3 linked regions of the Oryctolagus cuniculus genome follow. The protein of the gene in region 2 interacts with the protein of the main gene of each other region in a pairwise test. Links are inferred from orthologs where the notes say so. Each region holds a gene or a part of one and is shown on either strand. Other genes may lie near its edges.

Evidence for each region.
Region 1: the proteins of EXOC1 (region 2) and CEP295 interact in a two-hybrid assay, tested with the Homo sapiens proteins (2 studies listed by BioGRID and IntAct). The link is inferred for Oryctolagus cuniculus from reciprocal best matches to the Homo sapiens genes EXOC1 and CEP295.
Region 3: the proteins of EXOC1 (region 2) and CCDC88A interact in a two-hybrid assay, tested with the Homo sapiens proteins (2 studies listed by BioGRID and IntAct). The link is inferred for Oryctolagus cuniculus from reciprocal best matches to the Homo sapiens genes EXOC1 and CCDC88A.

Annotation. Positions count from the first base shown.
Region 1 is NC_091432.1:84,860,644-84,866,364, forward strand, and holds part of CEP295 (centrosomal protein of 295 kDa), read left to right. Parts: coding exon 1-2,088; intron 2,089-3,658; coding exon 3,659-3,833; intron 3,834-4,337; coding exon 4,338-4,481; intron 4,482-5,721. UniProt on the Homo sapiens protein: Centriole-enriched microtubule-binding protein involved in centriole biogenesis.
Region 2 is NC_091439.1:108,632,776-108,638,496, reverse strand, and holds part of EXOC1 (exocyst complex component 1), read left to right. Parts: intron 1-804; 5' UTR 805-814; coding exon 815-938; intron 939-5,721.
Region 3 is NC_091433.1:147,276,802-147,282,522, reverse strand, and holds part of CCDC88A (girdin), read right to left. Parts: intron 4,098-5,721; coding exon 3,933-4,097; intron 1,071-3,932; coding exon 909-1,070; intron 40-908; coding exon 1-39. UniProt on the Homo sapiens protein: Bifunctional modulator of guanine nucleotide-binding proteins (G proteins). Acts as a non-receptor guanine nucleotide exchange factor which binds to and activates guanine nucleotide-binding protein G(i) alpha subunits.

The sequences.
Region 1 (5,721 bases), on a different chromosome or scaffold from region 2:
CTATATATTCATAAACAGAGTCAATTGGATGGAAGAGTAGATTCTGAACAGGCTGAGCCCTCCCATCTCCCATTTCAGGTAGGTCAGCATGCATTTACCTCGCCACCTTCTACTGATACAAAATCTAGAAAAATCCAGGAGCAATGTTTACCTACAAGCGAGAAAGGTTTTCTCTCAAGCCAGTATGAAATCACAAAATCTGAAGAGGAGTCCTCAGGTTTCCTACAACAGTTCCTTCCTCTCCATGATAGTTTGAAGTTGCTCAAAGAACAGCTGACTGCACAAAGGGATGCTCTTCAGGCTAGGCATGAAGCTCAAATGGAATTACTTTTACATAGACAAAGGGATTTGAGGGACAGTAAGTCTGGGCACATTTCTTCATTCTCACCAATGATTGTTGGACATTCTTTTCCTTCACAAGATTCTAATGCTGAGTCTAGGAGAATTGAAAAACCTTATTTATCTGAGAAGGAGCATGTAAGTCCTTCTAGTCATTTGCTAGTCCCAACATTCCAGGATAAATCTCTTAGTTTGCCACAGCATAGCCTGCCACAGCAAGATTTGACAGCACTGCACGAACAGTCACACATACAGAGGGTAATACTTGGTGCTGGACAGGAAACTCAACATAAACAAAGTGCACTGGAGAATATCCAAGGAAATACATTTGAAGAAACTGGCTTGTCTTCCTTCATACCCCAGTTAGCACAAGCTTCATCTCCCTTACTGCCTTCTGAGTCTGGTGCAACCCAGGTATTTCTTTCAACAGAAAGTGATAATAAAATTCCATCAAGCCAGTTTCAGATCCCAGAACTGCAGGATAGGCTTTTGAGAATATCACAACTTATCCAGCCCCAGAAGGATAATTTGAATGCACTTCAAGAACAGTTAGCTACTCAGAGGGAAGCCATCTTTCAGCTCAGACAGGAAGCTCAGGAAGAACAACTTTTACATCGAGAGAGTGAGTGGAAGGGAAGACTATCTCCTGAGCAAGTTGCCACCTCTTCCTTACCCCAAGTAGCACAGCTTCCATTTACTTCATTACCTCTTACTGTATCTGAAAGAACCCAAGAATCTTGTTCAACTAACAGTGATTATACAATCTCTTCAAGCCATTCTGAAATGCCAAGATTGCCTGATAGGCTGTTGGGTTTATCACATAGTGTTTTACCTCAGCAAGATAATTTGATTTCACTTCAGGAACATTTGCATGCACAGGCGAATTCCCTTCCTTCTATTGAAAATACCTCAAAAGAATTTATTTTACCTAGACAAGGTAAATATGAGGAAAAAGTATCTAATGAGCATTTTATCCAAACTCACCATGATGATTTGAAGGCACTTCAACAGCAGTTAGATATCCAGAGGAAAGCCATTCGGTCTAGGCAGGAAGTCCAAGAAGAAGTACTTTTTAAAAGATTAAGTAAATTGGAGAAAAGGGTATCATCTGAACAGATTAGTTCCTCTTCCTTCTTACCCCTTGATGCACTGCCTTTTGCCAGCTCTGATAGAACCCAGAAATCTTTACCAACTGAAAGTAATGGTACTCTTCCCTCAAGTCATCCTGAAATCACAAGATCACAGGATAGGCTTTTGAGTTTTTCACAGCCTATTCATCAACAAGGTAATGTGACAGCACAATTGGACTTACCTGGAGAAGTGTGTTCTAATAAGAGACCTCAAGAAGAACTACTTTTAAACAAAGTAAATAAGCTAAACAAAAGTGAATCTACTGAGCATGCTATCCCTACGTTTTTCAAGGAAACAGAGCATTCATTTATTCCACTACCTTTTGCTGAAGCTAAATCTAAAAGTATATGTGAATTGCATTCATCTAAAAACGAACATGCAGCTCTGCCAAGTGATTCTGTATTTCCAAGGTTTGAAGATAGGCTTTTGAGTTTTTCACAGCCTGTCTTAGCTCAACAAGATAACTTGGGTCTTCAGAAGCAGTTGGGTTTCGAAAGAGAAGTTCTGCATTGTAGCCAGCAAGCCCAAGAAGAATTGCAGGTACAGAGACAAACAGCATTGCAGCAGCAGATCCAGAAACATCAAGAGACTTTGAAGGATTTCTTTAAAGACAATCAGGTATGTTGTAAGGTATATCTAAGAAGTAATGGAAGTTCGGAAACAACTCAGTTTTAACCCTAGGCCTATGAGCTTTTAGTTAATGAGAGTAAGTGGTTTGATTTTAAATATGTTTTAATTTTTAAGCAGTGTAGAAATTAAATTGATAGACCTCACATGAAGTTTATGAGCTTAATGGTTATTTGAAACCAATTAATTTTTTAAGAGGTTTATATTTTTATTTGAAAGGCAGAGTTAACACAGAGAAAGAGAGTGACATCTTCGATTCACTGGTTCACTCCCCAAGTGTCAGCAGTGGCCAGAGCTAGGAGCCAGGAGCTTTTGCCTGGTCTCCCACATGGATTCAGGGGTCCAAGCACTTGGGCCATCTTCCGCTCCTTTCCCAGGTGTATTAGGGAGCAGGATTGGAAGTGGAGCAGCCAGGACTTCAACCAGTGCACATATGGATGCTGCACAGCACTGCAAACCATTGTACCAGGGCTGTCCCCAGAAACCAATGAATTTCTAGTGGAAACTTTGTAAAACAATGTAGCCTTTTATTTGGACATTTGGTATGAGATTTAAACATACCGTAAAATTAAAATTGTAAAAGTAATTGGTTAGCAGAATGTATGTAGTAGATCTTATGCTTTTTATCTATAACATTCTGTTGACATTTATGTGTGAATATGAATCAAGTCCCATTTTTTTCCTCAGGTAACACTATTATTGCCTGTTGTGAAACAGCCATTATTTTAGGATGATGGAGAGCTGGACAGGCTGCTTCTATCTGAATTATTGTAAAGACTCTGCCAAAGTCACTCAGACATTCATTATTTCTCTCCACAGGAGACAAGTGTTTTCTACTAAAAAGGAGTGTATCCATTTTTTATTTTAAATAGCTGCTTTTTGTTCATTTATTTCTTTAGAGATTTACTTATTTGTTTGAGAGGCAGAGTTCCAGACAGAGAGGTCTTCCATCCACTGGTTCCCTCCCCAAATGGACGCAACAGCTGAGCCATTCAGAAGCCAGAAGCTTCTTCCTGGTCTCTCACGTGGGTGCAGGGGCCCAAGCACTAGGGCCATCTTCCGCTGCTTTCCCAGACCATTAGCAGGAAATGGAGCAGCCAAGACTTGAACCAGCACCCATATGGGATGCCAGTACTGCAGGTTGAGGCTTAACCTACTATTCCACAGTGCTAACCCCTACTTTTTTTTATTGAAAACAATATTCTATGAATCCTTTGATGTTCAAGAAAAGTTGAGTTTTTGAGATTGATCATTTGAAGGAAAAGCAATGGCAAATGAAAATGGGGGATCCTTGAGTATGATTGTTTATTGAAAGAAAGATACAGGAGAGGCAAGATTTTAGGTTTAGCGTTATGAATTATTGCATTTTTTGATGGGAATATAACTTTTTCAGTATCTTATTTTTTCTTTTAGCTGTGGGTAGCATGGTAATAGTGCAGTTGGTAGAACTATTTGGTTGAGGTTCTAAATTAAGAAGGAAGATATTAAAAAAAGGGAGATATAAATCTAATGAATTCTTCACATGATCCCTCAATTTGTCCTTATCTGTCCACTTTTTTAGACAAGTAATTCCACAGTTGAAAATGACTTAAAAATGCAGAAGTTGGGGCACTTCGGAGAGTGGCTTCCTCGTATCCAAGACCTTGCAAGCAATGATCAGGAAAATAGTCGTGTAGATAGGAGCAACTCTGATTATAATCAGCTGCTTTCAGAACATACTAGTGCCAAGCAAAGTGGTAAGATATTGCAATTTATTTATTTTTTATTTTTTATTTTATTTTATTTTTTGACTGGCAGAGTGGACAGTGAGAGAGAGAGAGAGAAAGGTCTTCCTTTACCGTTGGTTCACCCTCCAGTGGCCACCGCGCGGCACGCTGTGGCCGGCGCACCGCGCTGATCTGAAGCTGGGAGCCGGGTACTTCTCCTGGTCTCCCATGGGGTGCAGGGCCCAAGCACTTGGGCCATCCTCCACTGCACTCCCGGGCCACAGCAGAGAGCTGGCCTGGAAGAGGGGCAACCGGGACAGAATCTGGCGCCCCGACTGGGACTAGAACCCGATGTGCCGGTGCCGCAGGCGGAGGATTAGCCTATTGAGCCGCAGTGCCAGCCTGATATTGCAATTTATTATAATTATTCTGATTATTATTTGCTCTCATCCTCTGCAGTTTTTTTGTTTGCTTGTTTGTGGTGTGTTTGTTTTGTTTTGTTTTGTTTGCCTAACTTTGTCATTGACTTGATAGGTGAGCATTTGGACAAAGAGTTGGGTAGAAGATCCTCAAAGCCACCTGTAGCAAAAGTTAGATGTGGATTGGAGGTAAACCAACATGAACTTAGTGCTATACAAGAAGTAGAATCACCAGCAAGTGTTAGAACTTCTATACCAGGTAAACAGAGGGCTTGATAAAATATTTTAATAGTCTGCTAGTCTTCTAGATTTTTTTTGGCTGGGTTTATTTTATTTTATTTTATTTTTGTTAATGAAACATAGGCTTTGAATACTTATAATAGGAAAATATTGGTTTTACATATACAGTATTTAAAACTTGAGCTTAAGAAAATGTGGCTTTAAGTAACTAGTCTTTATTTCGTGTATGAATGACACCAATGTACTATATACAGCAGTTCTTCCATGTAGCATATTCTGACACACTTGTTCCCTATTATTTTTGATGTTTACTTCTAAACTTGCTATTTTAGGATGTAACCCAGTTTGTTTTTGTTTTCTTTTTTTCTCTTAATGACTTTTTGCTTTAATACTTTCAGTGCTGTTTTCCTGTATTTTTTATTTAAAAAATTCTAAAAATACTGGCTTTAAGTACAATTAAAATAGGTATATTTTTTCACTATTATTTCTACATCTGAGAACCTAGAAAAATTCTTCCCTATAAACTTTGTTAAGTGGTCCTGTTAGAATTTCTTAGTTATTTTTAGATTTCAAAGTTACCAAATAAATTTCCTGATCAAAATTTAACAAAACAAATCCTTTTGTAAAGGGAAACATACGCTTTTTGTATAGAGAAGTGTAATGAAAACATTGTCTATTTTGGTCTTGAGTCATATGGTACTGTACTTTTGTTTCTGACTGAAAGAATAAGAAAGGTAGAGATTCACAGTGACGCCTAAGAATGAATTCCTTTGTGGCCAGTATCAGCGCATGTCAGGTTAAGCCGCTGCCACTGATGCTGATATTTTACGTTGGAGCACTAGTTGGGGTCCTGGGTGCTCTGCTTCCCATCCAGCTCCCTGCTAATGGCCCTGGGAAAGCAGCACAGTGATCTTGGTGATCAAATGCTTGAACCATTGCCACTCACATACAAGACTCAGATGAGTTCCTGGCTCCTAGCTCCTGGCTTCAGTTTGGTCCAACCCCAGTCTGTGGCTAGTTAGGGAGTGAACCAGTAAATGGAACATCTCTTTGTCTCCCTTTTTTTCTGTCATTCTGCCTTTCAGATAAATAAAAGAAAAAGAAACAGTCCCTTTCTTGCTTCCTCATGATGTCAGTGGAGCATGTGAAGATTTTATTTTACTAGGCTTTGGGAGCTTTTCTGTTTTGCAGTGTTTGACAAACCACAACTGTTTGGGAATTGATCATCAGAGATTTAGTAAATCACGATCATGTCTGAG
Region 2 (5,721 bases):
TCATATGCTTACTGGCCATTTGTATGTCTGCTTTGGAGGAATGTCTATTTTATTCAGTTTTTAATTGGGTTGTCTTTTTATTGCTGAGTTATAAGAGTTCTTTTTTTTTTTTTTTTTTTTTTTTTTTTTTTTTTTTTTTTTTTGACAGGCAGAGTGGATAGTGAGAGAGACAGAGAGAGAAAGGTCTTCCTTTGCCGTTGGTTCACCCTCCAATGGCCGCCGCTGCAGCCGGCGCACCGCGCTGATCCTGGCAGGAGCCAGGAGCCAGGTGCTTTTCCTGGTCTCCCATGGGGTGCAGGGCCCAAGCACCTGGGCCATCCTCCACTGCACTCCCTGGCCATAGCAGAGAGCTGGCCTGGAAGAGGGGCAACCGGGACAGAATCCGGCGCCCCAACCGGGACTAGAACCCGGTGTGCCGGCGCCGCAAGGTGGAGGATTAGCCTATTGAGCCACGGCGCCGGCTCAGTTATAAGAGTTCTTTACATAACAAACTATAGTTAAAGATTGAGCATGGGTTGTTTTCTTTAAATCTGTGTGTGTGAGACAAACAGAGAAAATATTTGTTGATTACTTCTGAGAGAAGATGCTTGGTGATCAAACATTTTAGAGTTTTATAACACTAGTTGTCTAATTTCATTTTTAAACTTATGGCTTTATATTGTTATCATGAAGGTGTATTGATGTGTTAAGTAATTTTTTCTATGATAATGAACCAAAACATAAGATCATTTTTAATCATAAATGGTACAGTATGAGAAGGGATGATTTTTTAGAATAGGCTAAATATGCTCTGAATTTTTTCAGCTAAGAGAAAATGACAGCAATCAAGCATGCATTACAAAGAGACATCTTTACACCAAATGATGAACGTCTGCTGAGCATTGTGAATGTCTGCAAAGCAGGGAAAAAGAAAAAGAACTGCTTTTTGTGTGCTACAGGTGGGTGTTGATACTTGTCTGTCATTCTTTTATTCCTCAGGGACATTTCTTCCTGTATGAAATATTCTCCCTGTCTCTATAATTGGAACGATGGTTGAGCTGATGAATTAATTTTTAATTGTCTTGTTAAATATTGAGTAGCTACAGAAGAATTTCTGTAACATATATGTAAGGTGTAAAGACTCACTGTAGTGAACACTGTGTACTCAGCCCTCAGCGTAAGAAGGCTGTGTCTGTACCTGTGAAGTCTCCTTTGTGTCCTCCTGAGTCCAATTCCTTTCTCTCCCCCATTAGGAAATAACTGGCATCTGAATTTTGATTTACCATTTCTTTGTCATATTACCATGTATATTTGTCAATGTAGTTAGTTTTTGCATGTCTTTGAGCTTTGCTTCCAGATTGTGGGGAGATTTTGATTGGAATTCTTTTAAAACTATAAGTTGAATCATAGGACATGTATTTGTGACTTTCCCACTTAACATTTTGACATTCTGTTCATGGTCTTTTATCTTTTTAAGATTTATTTTAGGGCCGGCGCCGCGGCTCACTAGGCTAATCCTCTGCCTAGCGGCACTGGCACACCGGGTTGTAGTCCCGGTCGGGGCGCCGGATTCTGTCCCGGTTGCCCCTCTTCCAGGTCAGCCCTCTGCTGTGGCCAGGGAGTGCAGTGGAGGATGGCCCAAGTGCTTGTGCCCTGCACCCCATGGGAGACCAGGAAAAGCACCTGGCTCCTGGCTCCTGCCATCGGATCAGCGCAGTGCGCCGGCCACAGCGCGCCGGCCGCGGCGGCCATTGGAGGGTGAACCAACGGCAAAGGAAGACCTTTCTCTCTGTCTCTCTCTCTCTCACTGTCCACTCTGCCTGTCAAAAAAAAAAAAAAAAAAAAAAAAAAGATTTATTTTAGGCCGGCGCCACGGCTCAGTAGGCTAATCCTCTGCCTTGCGGCACCGGCACCCTGGATTCTAGTCTCGGTTGGGGCGCCGGATTCTGTCCTGGTTGCTCCTCTTCCAGTCCAGCTCTCTGCTGTGGCCCGGGAAGGCAGTGGAGGAAGGCAGTGGTGCTTGGGCCTTGCACCCGCATGGGAGACCAGGAGAAGCACCTGGCTCCTGGCTTCGGATCAGCGTCGTGCGCCGGCTGCAGCCTGCTGGCCGCAGTGGCCATTGGGGGGTGAACCAATGGCAAAGGAAGACCTTTTTCTCTGTCTGTCTCTCTCACTGTCCACTCTGCCTGTCAAAAAAATAAATAAATAAAAATAAATTTAAAAAGATTTATTTTATTTTATTTGAAAAGTAGACTTACAGAGAAAGGGAGGGAGAGATAGAGCATCCATTCATTGGTTCGCTCCCCAAATGGCCACAACAGTCAGCCCTGGGCCAAGCTGAAACCAGGAGCTTCATCCAGTCTCCCATGTAGGTGCAGGGGCCCAAGGACTTGGGCCATCTTCTGCTGCTTTTCCAGGCATATTAGAAGGCAGCTGGATTGGAAGTGAAGCAGCCGGGACTCGAACTGGCACCCATAAGGGATGCCAGCATCATCACAGGCGGAGGCTTAACCTGTTACACCACAGTGCTGCCCTCTTCCTTCTCTTTTTAAAATTTGTTTGAAAAGCAGAGTTACAGAGAGATGGAGAGCGAGAGATCTCATCTGCTGGTTCATTCCATAATGGCCACAACAGCTGAAGCCAGGAGCCTGAAACTCCATCCTGGTCTCCCATGGGGGTGGCAGGGCCCAAGGACTTGGACCATCTTCCACTGCTTTCCCAGGGACATTAGCAGGGAGCTGGGATCGGGAGTGGAGTAGCTGGGACACTACACGGTGCTCATAATGGGATGCTGGTGTCACAGGTGGCAGCCTACTCCACTGTGCCACAATGCCAGCCCCGTATGTTCAAGTATTTAAGTGTTATTTTTCTTCTTTCACTCAGCTGGAATTCTTTCATAGTCACTGCCATGTAGGAGTCTACTGTCTGAGTGGACCCCAGGTCACTGGCGATGAGCTTTGTTCCCAGGTTTTGCTGTTCAGACAGAACTTCTGTGAACATGTTTGTCTCCATCTTCCAGCAGCTACAGGCGGGAATTCTCTAGGGTGGAGCCTTAGCTGTGGAATTCTCCATGTCGCAGATCCGTGAATGATCAGTGCTGCTCTAAGCCAGACTCTTTTCTAGTTTTCACTCCCACAAACTGTGTGTGTTTTTGGTTCTCTACATCCCAGTCAATACTTGGTTTTATTAGATAATTACTTAATTATTGCCCCTTTGAAGGGGGTGAAATAGTATCTCATTGTAATTTAAAATTGTAGGGGCAGGTGCTGTGGTGAAGTGGGTAAAGCCACCACCTGTAGTGCTGGCATCCCATATGGGCACTGGTTCAACTCTTGGCTGCTCCACTTCCGATCCAGCTCTCTGCTATGGCCTGGGAAAGCAGTGGAGGATGGCCCAAAGTCCTTGGGCCCCTGCACACATGTGGGAGACCCAGAGCAAGCTCCTGGCTTTGGATCAGCACAGCTCTGGCAGTTACAGCCAATTGGGGAGTGAACCAGTGGATGGAAGACCTCTCTCTCTCTGCCTCTGCCTCTCCTTCTCTCTCTGTGTAACTCTGACTTTCAAATATATAAATAAATCTTTAAAAATAAAATAAAAATGTATTTTTAACAATGATATTGGATGTCCTTTCATTAATTTATTAAGCATTTAGTTTTCTTGTCTGAAATTTACCTTTTGCTCATTTTTCTGTCATGTTGACTGTGTTTTTACTGAGCTGTACAAATTCTTTATATCATGTAGGTAATCATCTTTTATTGGTTTATGTGCATTGCAGTTTTTCTTGGTCTTTTCATTTTGTATATGATGTCTTTTAGTGAAACATGTAATTTTAATAAATAGATACTAGTTCCTAGTTTTCTCTTTTTGCTTTTTACAGATATCTTTTAAGTAGTTAAAAATATTCTCCTATGTTCTAAAAATTTTATGGCTGGCACCGCGGCTCAATAGGCTAATCCTCCACCTGCAGCGCCGGCACACCAGGTTCTAGTCCTGGTCGGGGCGCCGGATTCTGTCCCGGTTGTCCCTCTTCCAGGCCAGCTCTCTGCTGTGGCCAGGGAGTGCAGTGGAGGATGGCCCAAGTGCTTGGGCCCTGCACCCCATGGGAGACCAGGAGAAGCACCTGGCTCCTGACTTCGGGTCAGCTCGGTGCGCCGTCCGCAGCGCGCCGGTCGTTGTGGCCACTGGGGGGTGAACCAACGGCAAAGGAAGACCTTTCTCTCTGTCTCTCTCTCTCACTGTCCACTCTGCCTGTCAAAATAAATAAATAAATAAAAATTTTATAATTTTGCCTTTCACATTTTTAAATCTTCAATTCTCTGTGTGTGTTTAGACTGATGTGTGTGGGTATTGTCTGTTTCTCAGTTTTCTCTTGTATTGTTTTTATTCTTTTTTTATTTTTTTATTTATTTATTTTTTTTGACAGGCAGAGTAGACAGTGAGAGAGAGAGACAGAGAGAAAGGTCTTCCTTTGCCGTTGGTTCACTCTCCAATGGCTGCTGCGGCCGGCGCGCTGCAGCCAGTGCACCGCGCTGATCCGAAGGAAGGAGCCAGGTGCTTCCTCCTGGTCTCCCATGGGGTGCAGGGCCCAAGCACTTGGGCCATCCTCCACTGCACTCCCGGGCCAGAGCAGAGAGCTGGCCTGGAAGAGGGGCATCCGCGACAGAATCCGGCGCCCCGACCAGGACTAGAACCCGGTGTGCCGGCGCCGCAAGGCGGAGGATTAGCCTAGTGAGCCGCGGCGCCAGCCTGATTTCAGAGATTTTTAAAAGAAAGGACATCTTAGATGAAATGAAGTATTACCTTTTGTATGTACCTTTGGTTTGCCAATACAGTATTTGGTGATTTTGCATCCATATTTACTAGATTCATGGTCCTTTAATTTTCTTTATCACATTATCTTTTTTAGCTTTATAACCAGTTATAAAGTGAATCAAAGAACATTCTATCATTCTCTGTACCCTGGAATAGTTGTGTGTTTGGAATTATTCATTTCTTGAAAGTTTTGCAAAAGATACCTGCAGAGCTGGGTTGGACTAGTTTTTCTGGTGAGAGAGGGAAGATTTTTACTTACCAATGCAATGTCTGTAATAGTTATAGAACTGTCCATTTTTTCTACTCGAGTCAGTTTTGGTAAGTCGCATTTTTTAGGGAATTTTTTTTTTTTTAAGGGAAAATGACTTAGTTTTGAAATGTGTTGGCATTATTCCAATCCATTTTCCATTCAACTGCTAGAGAAATTTTGAAATTTTTTCTTTATTTGAAAGACAGAGACAAATCTCTTGCCTACTGCTTCATTCCCCAAATGCAGGCAATAGCTGGGGCTGAGCCAGCAGCTGGGAACTCAGTCCAGGTCCCCCTCACAGGTGGCAGGGACCCGACTGCTGCTGCCTGCAGGGAGCCTGTTAGCAGGAAGCTGGACTTGGGAGCAGAGCCGGGACTCGAGAACCCAGGCGTCTGAGATGGGATGTGGGCATCCTGAGAGGTGTCTTAACTGCTATGTCAAATGCCTGCCCTTAGCATAGTTGTTTTTAAACTAGAAATTAGAGCATGCCACTTCCCGTTACGATCTGAACCCATCTGAGCGTCATTTCTGTCCACCTTATTATTTGAAGTATCTATATGGAGCTATTACTGTTGTTTGAAATAGTATGCTTTTTCAAGGCTCCCTAGCTTTACATGTATCAGTCATTCATCAGATTTTACCACATACTCTTTCCTTTAAAACCTTGCTTCCCAAGGACT
Region 3 (5,721 bases), on a different chromosome or scaffold from region 2:
AAGTGAAGTACTTTGGGAATTGAGGGTAGAATTTTCAACCTATAAGAAAGTATACTGTTACTAGATATAAGAAAAATAGTTCATATTGCTCTTGTTTAAAAATTAAAATTACAATTTTAATTTAAAGAAACTCTAATTGGTATACAGATACATATAGTATATATACTCCTATATCCTTTGGGTTGAATGTATTTCAAAGAAAGCTTATTAGCAACCACTGATTAGCAACCATTTGTATTCAACATATTAAAAAGTACAGAATTTGAAATGCTAGGTTATCACTTCTATAACTTGAGAGCTCACAGAACTGAAAAACTACTTTAGAAAATTTCTTGAGAGTCCAAGTCAAACTTATCACTTGGAAAAGAATAATTGAAAGAAAACTTTTAGATTCTGATAGGGAACTTCTTTTGGTTCTTTAAGAGATTTCAGAGTTGCACTTTCTCCAACTTGACTTTTTTATTTCAAAAGATTGTGGCAGTGTTATGTGAAAGATGGATCCTCTGAGCTAAGAGCAAGTCTAAAGACGAGTCCCATGTTGTATTATTCTCTAATAGCTAAATGATAAGAAAGCTGTAAAAATGAAATAAGGAATTACATGCTGCAACTGTACCATAAAGCAAATATTTGTGGCTGATTATCAACTGTTGAAAGGATACAAAGACTTTAAATATAAATTATCTTTATGCATTTATATTTATCGAGAGGATTATTTAATTAATATTTTGAGGCTCTGATATAATAATAGCTAATTTTTGGTAGGTTGGAATGGCCCAAAAATATTTTATGTCTTCAACTAATTACTAAATGCACACACTAATAAACACTGTTTCCAAGTGTAACATTACTTATTTCAATAGCATAATTCAAGAGTTTGGCTGCATATCCACAAAATATCACATTACAACCTGAAGCTTGGCATTCTGTGTTTGCAGAGTGGTATTCTGTTCTTGTAATGACACTGTCTGCCTCTGAAGTGCAAGAATCTGAGCCTGCAAATTATTGTTCTGTGTCTCAAGTTGCTTCAGTTGAGTTTTCAATGCTTGCTTCTCTGCTTGTAGTGTAGCATTCTTAAAAATAAAAAAATACATGTATTAAAGGTAAAAGCAACATTAAATGATATTCTAACAGATATTCATACTGGAATTTTAGACAACCAATATTTATTACCACTATAATCCACCCTCCCAAACCACACCCAACAATCTTAAAAGAGAAAAAAAAATTACAACATTCTATCTATCCTAAATTTTAAACAGAAATTTAATCAGGTGCCAGTGTTGTGGTGTAGTGGAATAAGCTGCCACCTGCAGCATCGGCATCCAATATGGACATTGGTTCAAGTTCCAGTTGCTCCATTTCCAATACAGCCCCCTGCTAATATGCCTAGGAAAGCAGCAGAAGACAGCTCAAGTCCTTGAGCCCCTTCACCTGTGGGAGAACTGGAAGAAGCACCTGGCTCCTGGCTTCATCCTGGCCCAGCCTTGGCCACTGTAGCCATTTGAGGAGTGAACCAGAGGATGGCAGATCTCTCTCTGTCTCTCCCTCTCTGTAACTCTACATTTCAAATAAATCTTTAAAAAAGTTATAAAAAAGAAATGTAATCTAAGAAAAAAAATAATACTAAATCCTAAAATACTGCTGCAACTGTCCTGTCTGCTTTGTAATATCCTGAAAATATTCCATTCTAAAGATAAGTATTTTAACAAAGAAACTAGAATGAGGCTGTCAGTTGTATGGTTTTAATACCATCAAAAGTAATAAATGTTCAGCTAAGAGGGTATAACTTTCCTAATTTACCTAAAGGCAAATGTATATAGAAGTGAGTGGCAGTCCCAGGGGTAGTGGCAAAACAAAGCATTTTCCAAACACAAATACTTGGAAGAGAAACAGTTTTACAGAAACAATCTTAACCATCTGTTTAAAAAATTTAGTCCATAACAAACCTAACAGATGGTACATATTTTCTTCAGTTACTTTTTTTCCCAGGATAAAACACTCATTAAAACTTTATAACTATAGGACTTCTGGAGCATCTCCAAATGAAATGTACCATTTCAATTTTTCCAGTATATATAGCCATATTTCAATTTTACAAACAGGTGAATTATTATACAAATCACAGATCATTCTATTTAGTGATATATATTAAAATGCTTGTCATGGGTATTATATATTCTGGATTACTTCTAAATAAAAATTCATGAAGTAGGCATTGTGGCACAGCTGGCAAAGCTGCTGCTTATGGCACTGGCATTCCATATAGGCATCAGTTCATATCCTGGCTGCTCCATTTCCAATCCAGCTCCCTCCTAATGGCCTGGGAAAGCAGTGGATGTTGACCCAATTACCTAGGCCTGTGCCACCCACATGGGAAACCCAGAAGAAGCTTCTGGCTCCTGAATGGTTCAGCCACAGCCATTGAGGCCATCTGGAAAGTGAACCAGCAGATGGAAGATATATCTCTCTGTCTCTCCTTCTCTCTCTGAACTCTTTCAAAATAAATCTTTTTTAAAAATTCATTAAAAAATTAGCATCAAAAACTATCCACAATGGTGGGCATCTGGTGCAGTGGTTAAGACCCTGTCTGAGATGCTTACATCCCTTATCAGGGTGCTAAGTTCAAGTTCTGGCTCTTCTCCTGATTCTAGCCTCTTACTAACATACATCCTAGGAGGCAGCAAGTGATGGTTCAAATATCTGGGTCCCTGCCACCAACATGGGGGATCTGAATTGAATTCTGGGTTGCTGGCTTCAGCCCAGTCCTGGTTATTGTGGGAATATAGGGAGTGAACCAGTGGATAGAAGCTCTCTCTTCTATCTTTGTCTTTCAAATATAATGAAAATAAATAAAAATTTTAAAAGGGCATCAACAAAAAAATCCACCAGATAACAGAAATAACATTTTAAGGGGCCGGTGCCTTGGCGCACTGGGTTAATCCTCTGTCTGTGGCACTGGCATCCCATTTGGGCACCAGTTCGAATCTCGGCTGCTCCTCTTCCAATCCAGCTCTCTGCTGTAGCCTGGGAAAGCAGCAGAATATGGCCCAAGTCCTTGGGGCCCTGCACCCACACGGAAGACCAGGCAGAGGCACCCGGCTCCTGGCCTCGGATTGGTGCAGCTCCAGCCATTGCGGCCATTTGGGGAGTGAACCAACGGACGGAAGACCTTTCTCTCTGTCTCTCCCTTCCACTGTCCGTAACTCTACCTCTCAAATAAAATCTTAAAAGAAAAAGAAATAACATTTTAATATGCAAAAGGCCTATATGCAAAAGGTTAACACTGATTATCACAACAGATCGGTTTTATATTAGAAGACAAAGATAACATTCACTTTTAAGCTATATATACATGTGGGCACATCATGATTTGATTCACATATTAAAATCAGAGCTGTTTAAGATGGGTTGTAGTACTGTTCTCTTGTATTCCTTTGTTCAAATAAGAGGGTAAAATATTTACATTGGAATAATATTAAATACTGACACATTTATAAATGCCATCTTGACACCAGGAGGTTGAACCACTTTTCAATTATATATGTGAAATACTATTATAGTTTAGCACTTCAATTTGGGTTTCCTATAGTCTATATTGAATAGGAGAAATAGCTGACAGTAGAAAGGATATCTCAAGAGCAGGAAAAAAAATATACAATGAAAAAGTATTTTATCAGCAAATACAATACTGGCAAATATACAATCATTACCAGTCGTACCTCCAAGATAGAGATGACAATATTTTCTGATGGATTTATTTGAGGGTAAATACAAAAATTATTAGTTCTTCAGTCACTTGCTATTAAACAATTCAGTGAAGAAAGTATAAAATGGACAAAACTACAAAATCAGATTAGACAAATTTTCTAACTTTCTAACAATCCTTTATTTCTAAAAATCTTTATTCCTACTAAAAATTTAAAACTACTTACATTTCTTTCTACTTCAATTAACCTGTCTTTAACTTTGAGAAGTTCCCTGGTTGTTTCCTGACTTTCTCGCTCCCATTTATTATCTTCACCGGATAATGGAGGAGAGCTCTGTACCATCTGCTCCTCATCTTGTCTCTGTTTTAGAGCTTCATAATTTTTTTTCACCTAAAATTTAATGAGAAAAAAAATCATTAAAGTAATATTTCTCACAATTATTCTGCATTGATCTGGTGAGTATGAGACACTGAAAAAATATAAGTAATTATGTATGATGATCATGATTATAATTACAATTTATGCTTTTAAAAATGTAAATGTAAATCCTTTCCTCCTAGAAATGTAAATAAACTTTCCTATGTGCCATGCTTCTATACTATATTTAGTAATTTTAAATCCTACTTTCTGTGATGAAAAATTATTCTGAAGAACAGATGAACTGGACACAGATATGTTGCTAAATACTAACAACTCTTTTTAGAACTTATCTATAATGAATTTAGAAATTTCACAAACTCCTATGTAAAAAACAAATAAAGACCTGGCATGTCAATAATTAGTTTTAAGAAGATACCTAAACTTAAGGTGATAACTATATATGTGTTCCCTCTTAAGAAAAATGTGCTGCCTAGAATGAACTGTAGTGATAAAAATACTGCTTGATCCATACACAAATACTGTAATTTACCTTATAAGGAGTGAGCAATCCAAGGATATATCTTTTTTCTCCCAAAAGTATTTTATATAAGGAATACAAACTTCATGCATTTCATAAGTACAACTTTAAGAATATAGTGATTCTTCCCACCACACCCACCCTCCCAACCACTCTCAATCCCCTCCTCCTCCCTCTCCCATTCCCAGTCTCACTCTTCACAAAGATCCATTTTCAATTAACTTTATACACAGAAGATCAACTCTATACTAAGTAAAGAGCTCAACAATTTACATGAAAGACAAAACAAAAAAACCTCAACAGTCAAGACAAGGGCTGTTCAATGTCATCTCATCTCAAAGTTAATTTCACTTTTTAAAAACTTAATTAACTTTGAAGAAACACCCAAGAATGATACATCTTTTGCAAGCACTTAGACATAACTCTAATTTATGAGACATAAAAATATCCTCCACTTAGAGCCGGCGCCGTGGCTCAATAGGCTAATCCTCCACCTTGTGGCGCCGGCACACCGGGTTCTAGTCCCGGTCGGGGCGCCGGATTCTGTCCCGGTTGCCCCTCTTCCAGGCCAGCTCTCTGCTATGGCCAGGGAGTGCAGTGGAGGATGGCCCAGGTGCTTGGGCCCTGCACCCCATGGGAGACCAGGAAAAGCACCTGGCTCCTGGCTCCTGCCATCGGATCAGCGCGGTGCGCCGGCTGCAGCGGCGGCCATTGGAGGGTGAACCAACGGCAAAGGAAGACCTTTCTCTCTCTGTCTCTCTCTCTCACTGTCCACTCTGCCTGTCAAAAAAAAAAAAAAAAAAAAAAAAAATCCTCCACTTAGTACATTAAAATAGAGTCCATGAGAACAAGTTTTATCATTAATTAAGGAAGCACCTAAGAAAATAAGCAATGGAGTTGGACATTTAGACATAACTAAAACCTATGAGACATAAGAATACCCTCCACTTAATACACTATAACAAAATAAATCTTTGAGAACAAGTTTTACAGTTAGCTCTCATAATACAACTCTTTGAGGACAGAGGTCCTGCATGGGAAGTTAGTGCACAGTTATTCTTGTTGTTAATTTTTTTTTTTTTTCACAATTTGACAGGTAGAGTTATAGACAGTAAG